2 linked regions of the Drosophila melanogaster genome follow. The protein of the gene in region 1 purifies or fractionates together with the protein of each later gene. This does not show direct contact. Each region holds a gene or a part of one and is shown on either strand. Other genes may lie near its edges.

Region 1 (3,931 bases):
TAAAAAGTACAACAAAACAGGAAAATGTAACAAATTTCTATGGAATTGTTGCGACGCCCGCAACTGCATTGAAAACTGAAAAGTTTTTTAATACTTATTTATAGATAATAAAACCAACTACTGCGACAGCTGTCCGCACACACACAAACACACAATTTATCCGCTGTTGGATTGAAGTAGAAGTTGGCAAATTTCAACTTAAAAGGGGGACGAAATAACAAAGCGTAACGCAAGCTCCTCTCGCTCCTCCTGCTCCTCTCGCTTCTCAACTCCTCCTGCTCCTCCTTAGTTGTCCTTCTTGATGCGGGTAGAGGTCATGCGGTAAATGATGGAGTCCCTGCCGGGATCCATGGCAGCGATGGCGTAGCAGATAGCCAGCAGAGACAGTCCGAAGACGACCATGAACCACAGGATGATGTTGAAGATCACCGGGTAGTCGCTGCCGTAGTAGACGGCCAGGTTGTAGGGATTGGTGGTGGAAGCGGCAATGGTATCACGCTTGGCACGCGATGCTGCCACGTCCTTCTCCGTGGTCTGGACAAACAGAACCGAGTCGCTGGACTTCTGGGAGGCAGCAAGCAGGCGGCTGATAGCGGCCGACAGCAATTTGTTGGCCTCCTCCACGGCCACGGACTTCTCGCCATGAGCCTTGGCCACTCCATCGACGGAAACGCGCAGCATCAGGACATTCGAGGGCTTGGCCATCTCAGCCAGATGATCGGCGGCACTGTTGATGAATCCAACCTCCTGGAGGAACTGCTTGTCAGCGGTGTGCAGAGAGGGGTTCAGGTGCTTGGTGGGCTTGGCGGCTGGGGCCTCGAAATCACCAAAGCAGGACTTCCAGGCTTGAACCTATAAAAAATATGTGGTTAAATATACATTGGTCTCTACGTTATATGCGTAAGGGGGAAGGCACTATGATTCACTCTATAAATCATGTGATTAATTAATTTTTAAGGTTTAATAACTATCTATCATATTTGTGGGAAGTTATAGCGGATTGTAGAGAAGCTTCTTTAAACGAACTTTCAGATGAAGATCATGCTTTCTGCGGTTTGACAAATTAGCTAACTGACTAACGAAATGTGCTTTTCCCCTTTAAGACACCACTTACGCCATCGTCGAACTGCTCAAAGTTAATATCGCAGACGGGCTCGTTGGCTGCCTCCAGTTCGGCGGCCAGGGCGTTCAGAGAGGCGTCCGTTCCGGAGCCTGTCAGCTCGTAGGTCTTGACGTTGCCGGCGGTGGTCACGTGACCAATGCCCTGGACATGCACCAGAATGACGCCCTTGGCCAGGTTGAAGGGATCGTTGATGGTCAGTCCGTTCCAGTTGGTATCGCCGCTGACGGCGTTGCCCATGGAAGCGTAGAGTACATCACCCACGTAGTGGCTTTCCAGTGCATCGTTGCCCTTGAAACTGATTGCCTTGGGACGGTTCAGCACGGTGAATTCGCCAGAGGCATTGACTGCAAAATAGGAAGACGTAGCTCATAAGTTCTGTAGAATCTAACATATTCGTCTCCTTTGTCCAAGATTCTGCGCATGCATGTGGGGAGCCCTTTGGAGTCCCGAGTTCTGGGTGTCACCACCCCCAAAGAGGAATCGATGAGTACAGAATATCCACTTTGTGACCGCTTTCCACTTGCTGCGCATGCATTTTACTTGATTATAGATGGTAGATCTACTTACTGGCCGCTATAAACAGCGAGAAAATCACGAAAACTCTCAACATTTTCAGTTTTCCGCTGGACTTTTAATCATATGACGAACGACTGCAAAGAAAACCTTTTCTCTTCCCCGATATCACCCTGACTATCATGTGATGAACAGGGTTGCTTGGGGTCAGTTATCGAATGGGTATCAGTAGGGTTGTCGAAGAGTGCGAACTATCGATTGTACTAGTATTTCTAGTTTTATTTATTATGTATTTTTATTTATTCAATAATTTTGATGTATGTAATATTTATGTATGTAAGCATTAGATTACATCGATTTTAATAACACTTGTAAGCATTGCATTATTACATTATTATTTAATAAAAAGATTCGAGTAATCAGGCTTAAAATAATGTATTTTGTAATCACCTTTACAAAGTTAAATGTAATAAATCTATGTTGAATTCAAGACAGACATTTTCGTCATCTTAACAAAAATTAAGGGTTCACCATGCGGACATTTAAAAGTTATCTATAGTTAAAATACATTTTAATCGCGTAGGGCGTCGATTTCCAATCGAAGCTTCTGAATCTTAAGCAAAGTCAGTGTGCGCTCTACTTTTAGATTGTCCGTTTCCGTTTTAAGAAACTTGGTCTTACTCTGGAACTGACTGATCTCGGCTCGCGCCTTTTCCGCTCGCAATGCAGCTAAACCATTTCTTGGCCTGGCCTCGATGATCGTCGCCGATCCATTGGCTAAGTCATCCGGGTTTTGCTGCAATATGTAATGCTGTTCGATAATCGTTAAAATGTCTAAGATACTTATCAAATTGTGAATATTTACTTCTTTGCTTTCGTCCAGGTACTCAGAGTATTCGGGATTTTTAATTTCAACGTTGGAAATTTCAAATTCCAAATTTTGCTCGCCAGACTCTTCCGTTTTGGTCAGTTTCCTTTTGCGAATTTCTCGTTTCACTCTGGGTTGCTCCTTGGGCGCCTCAGCCTCGTCAGCATCGTCCAGAATTTGTTGTATCTGGAATGAAAAATAACCATAATGTAAGTATTTGATTTAGTTTACGCATTTTTCACCTACTCACCTTAACAATGATCTCCTTGCCTTCGTTGGCATTATCCAGGCCGCCATCATCGTCGCCCGAAATCTTCTGGATCTGCATAAAAAATATATTTTAGAGCATTAGCGATATATAAGTAACATTTAATTTACATATGAATGTTCATATGAGACGATATGGGTTAGTAATTTCAAAAGTCAAATCATTAAGCACTATATATTGTATTCGGACAAAGTTCGAACCGAATATTTGTCAAATTACTTGGGGTTGACATTATAGTGTGCAAAGTATCTTTGGGATTTATTTTGAAGTGCATTTGTCCACTGACGTCCTACACCAGACATATACATACATCCAATGTATCCAAATTGGAAGCATCGAATTACCTTTATCCTAGGAGCCTCGTCATGATCCTTCTCGTCGGCAGAAGTGTACACTACAGCGCTTCTACTTCGCCGGGCATCGCAGGTTTGCCTACAATTTAATGAGAATTACTTGACGCATGTAAACACAATGTTTGGTGTATGTTTGTATGGTTACCTGTGTAACGATAGCCGGGATAGCGCCGTATTTTGGAGTACTTTTTCGCAGAAGTGACAGGTGGCCGAGTATTTGCCATTCTCCAAATTGGCGGTAAATCCGTGGGTTCTGTAAAAATCCTCGGACTTCTTTCGGGGCATTTTAAAATACAACAATCGCAGTAAATTCCAATGTACTATACACGATGCAAATAAAAATGGCTTCACTACAGATGCATGTAAAATCCACGCTTGCATACGATAGACATGTATCGACATATCGATAAAACCATTTTGATATTGATCAGTTCGATGCGTTTCTTTTAGTCAAAACGATATTTAATAAAGATCAGAAATAATTTTATATGTATATAACGGGTGAAGTAGTAAACTTTTAAAAGGATTTGCTTCTTAATTTTACTTATATGTATTTGTAATATATGAACGCCCTTCAATATAGTCTATTTTTTAAAGGTTCCACGCATATATTTTCAGATACATTCATGGTACTATTTACTGCCCGATTAATTAATCGTTAAATATACAAAGCTAAATATTAAACTTATTCTTTTCAAAAATTTGTTATTTATGACCCAGACAAAGTCATTTTTTACAATTCAGTCATTTCACAGATGATTCAAAAGTAAAAATATAATTAATATTCAAATGCAAGCGACCATCGA
Region 2 (3,931 bases), on another chromosome or scaffold:
ACAAAATAAAAGGACCAGCACAAAAAGCCAACGTGGAAAAGTTTGGCAGTCGTATAGCGTGTGTTAACCCTTTAAAATACCCAAAAATATATGTGTTCGTACGTGTAAGCCGGGCTATGATAAAAAAGTTGTTTGGAGCGAAATTGTAGGTTCCTTTTTTATGAATGTGCTTTGCGAAGATATAAATGAGACACCAGTGGGTGTGTGGAATAGTTCAAAAGCCATTTGCATTAATGAAAAAGAAAAATATTTCAGTGAAATATTTAATACACTCAATCAGAAGGAAGTAGAGGGAAATTAAAATTAAGATTGGGTTTAATCATTACTTCAAAGAACTAAATAAATATTGCATAATTAGAAATAACAAGAAACAAAAATTAATTATTATTTAGGAAAATAATTAACCAAAATGACCAAATTTCCTATTTATTTAACCCAAACGCAAATATGAATAATATTCTTCGTTGGCCAGAGAATGTAAACATTTCTGCACTTATTGCTTCGACATTCCCTTAGCGTTTTGCATAATTTAACACACGGGTTAGGCTGTGACCCCTGCAAGAGCCACCCCCCGGATTTCCCACCCGCTGAGTCTGGAGCCCGGCCCCGCCCCCATTTCTTGCTAATACCATTCCGCCCCTTTCGACCAGAAGCGGTGCGTGTGCTTGCTGCTCCCATTGAAATGCCAGACTAACTCAATTAGAGTGCGCAGACAGAAGTTGAAGTTGAGTGTTACTTTGACTGCCGGCCAACATGCGAGTGCAAGAAAATATTTATAAATATTTCGAAACATCTGAAACTGCTCCTATTTAAAATGTAGGGAATTAAAGAATGCAATGATGTGGGGAAAAAACTTGAAGACGCGTCTCAATAAACAGACAGCCGGATAAAAGAGTAGGAAACTCGGCAAAAGTATCTAGATACTTTTTGCAGCTAGGTAGCTAGCTATGAGATACTCTCACAAAAACAGCAGCAAAAGCAACAGTGCTGTCTGGCTTGTGAACTCGACTCGTAAATGTACACAGAAAAAAATTGACCTGTCTTGGATCAATTCTTTATTGATTATTTACAACAATCTTATTGTTTTCAACATTATTCCACAAATGCAAAAAAAATCGTTCAAATTTAGACTTTAATTAAAAATAATATTGTCTTTGTTAATGAACTTGAATGAACTTTAATAAAGTGTAATAAGGTGTAATAAGGAAAAAGAAATAAATATTCGAACTTACATTTATAAAAAAAATGTGAAATTCCGAAAAACTTTAACAAAAATGGTCAAGAAATCAACAAGTTAAAAAGTGTATTTTTAGCGTTGTTGGAAATATAAGCTTATGTAAAGTTAAATATATTCTTTTATATTCTGGGCAAAAAAAGCAATATAAAGAGTATTTAGTCCTTTAAAGCTACGTCGAAATATCTACGTTTAACATTTGAATTTATAAAAAGTTTATGTTCTTAAACAAACAACAACTGAAACAAGATGTGTACACTCAAAATTTAAACTTATAAGTGGCTGAGTTTTCCTCCCTGTGTGCGAAAAACACAACAGAAAACAAAAATAAAATGCAAACAACGGAAAAGCGGAAAAAAAGAACTTGGCGTCGTCTGAGTTTAGCTCTCTGTGCTCTCTTTTCTTTTGCAGCTGTGTGAGTGTGTGGCTGTTGTTGTCTTTCCCATTTTCCCGTAGAAAATGTGAATGATTTTCCTTCACTTTCATCAACAGCTGCGCTCACACAAATGCAAGAAGTACTCATTTTCGAATTGCTTTTTGTTATTATTTTAGATACACAAATGAGTTAGCTTTTTCGTATCTTTACCGTTTGGCTGTGTTTTTGTTGTGCTGATTTTATATTTGTTGTGTTTTTGTATAAGTTTATTACTAATATATTTTTATTTGTTTGTATATTTTATTTGCAGATCTCTCGATTTCTCGGTTTTGTGTTCTTCGCCGGCTTGCTATTTTGCAAATGCCGCCGAAATTGCAATCAATTGCAGTTTTATATCTCCAGCTCACACAGATACTCACGCACACTCACACAAACACACACCAATGCGCGACGGCGACTGCGACGCCAACTGCGACTGCGGCGTCGACCGCGCTGCTCACGTCGTATGTCCGTTAATTAAACGCGCGATTTTTTGTTTGTTTCGGTTTTTACATATTATCTTTTCATGTGCTTCTCTCTTTTGTTTTTATTCCGCTTTGTTATTGTTATTAACTATTGTTATCAGCCCTCGGCGCTGCCAACGTCGACTGCGCTGCCTTTCGCGGCTGCTTTTTGGCTTTTTTTATTTCCCGTCTGCGGTGTAAGCGTCTGCGATTTTCACGTTTTTCCTTCTGCCGCGCTGTGTAGTTTTTCCGGTGATTTCCACTTGCCAACTGACTTTCTTCCGACTTTTCCAAACGGCCGGCCGTTGTTTTGCAAAATTCGCAGAGAGAGAGCGATAACGATTAAGAAATGCGGGGGAGGAAAAATAGAGAGATGGAATTACAAATGCGCCGGTCCAAAAAGCTCGCGAAACGATTTGGTAAACGGAACAGAGCTACGTGAAACGTAAGGCCTGCCCGGAATCACGTAACGTAATCACCAAACGAATCACCAAACGTTAATTTTTTGAAACAAGTTTCTGCAAAATAAATAAGTCATTATAAAATATATTAGAGCTATAAATTTATGCAATGTTATTAACGAAAATATTTTGTATGCTAGACTGGTCGAATGGACCAATAAAAAAGTAATTTCGCACCACTTATTCAAAATATGATGAAATCGTCCTGAATCTAACCAAGAAATTAGTCATAGAAATCAAAAATAAATTAAATATAAATGCGTAATAGTATGGATAGCCCATTTAAAGAAGAATTAATAGGTATCAAGATAATTACTTCAAGGGCTTTGATAGAAATTATATTCAGTAAAATCGCGTTCGCAGTAAAATAAAGAAAACGTATAAGTTCTAGCTAAATCATCACTCATCTTAAACCCGTTTTTCTTTTTTAAGAATACAAATTATTTCAATATGTTATTACTAGAAAACTATTATTAAGCTGATTCTAAATGCTTCATATTCGTGCAAATTTGTTTCAGATCTCCCACTCTAATCCGTATTAATTATTATAATATAATATTATAATATATTATAATATAATAATTTTATAGTATTATTTTATACTATTAGTACTTTGCGCATCTCCAACTTGAAAAGTCCAAATAATTTACCGATATTAATGTTCTATCAACAAAAATAAGCAATTACAAATTAGGTAATACACTAATTGAGCACATTAAAAACCCATTTATTTTAAAATATACACACCTACGTGCGTTTGAAATGCATTAGATTTTAGTCTTCAATTAGTTATCCACTAGTATGAACGTCAAAAAGCTTTTTATATTGGTTGACCTGATTCTGGGGACCCTAATCTTGAGCAGTGTTCGTGCAGAGGTCAGTAGTATAGAATCATATATGTAAGTCCTACTACATTAACCTATCTCAACGTATAGAAAGAAGTTTTTATGACGAAAATTGAGTGCCTCAATTATATGCCAGAATTGGTGAGAAACGTAAGCTGCTACTTAAATGAAACTTCCCACCCCACTGGTTCAATATACGCAGAGTTCATATTAACCCAAGATGTTGAGGACCTGAAGGGCATTTACATTTTGACATTTAAGAGAGGTTCATACGTGACGAATTTTACCTCTTCACATGTAGACTATTGTCAGATGCTATCAAGTGTGGAAAATCATTTTTTATTTAGAATGGTTACTACGCAGCTTCGCGAAACCGCCAATTTTCCTATACAATGTCCGTTGAAAATGGTAATTAACACTGGTAAGAAATTGTATAAAACTCTCTAATATCGTATTTTGGAAATTGTGTTTTAGAATAAACGGTATTACGCAAAGGGATTTACAGTTAACTC

The links.
Region 2: the proteins of ATP6AP2 (region 1) and fz2 purify together in Drosophila melanogaster (affinity purification with western blotting; one study listed by BioGRID). This does not show direct contact.

The regions. Positions count from the first base shown.
Region 1 is NT_033777.3:9,258,527-9,262,457, reverse strand, and holds the start of ATP6AP2 (ATPase H+ transporting accessory protein 2), read right to left. Parts: upstream 1,821-3,931; 5' UTR 1,734-1,820; coding exon 1,691-1,733; intron 1,468-1,690; coding exon 1,115-1,467; intron 853-1,114; coding exon 286-852; 3' UTR 1-285. Other genes in the region: Ibf1 (insulator binding factor 1), read right to left, coding at 2,208-2,447, 2,502-2,690, 2,755-2,826, 3,117-3,204, 3,271-3,410. UniProt on the Drosophila melanogaster protein: Multifunctional protein which functions as a transmembrane receptor in the planar cell polarity (PCP) and is involved in the assembly of the proton-transporting vacuolar (V)-ATPase protein pump.
Region 2 is NT_037436.4:19,232,985-19,236,915, forward strand, and holds the start of fz2 (frizzled 2), read right to left. Parts: upstream 2,390-3,931; 5' UTR 2,030-2,389; exon of another isoform or gene 1,821-2,029; intron 1-1,820. Other genes in the region: CG33647 (uncharacterized protein), read left to right, coding at 3,376-3,450, 3,510-3,827, 3,894-3,931. UniProt on the Drosophila melanogaster protein: Receptor for Wnt proteins.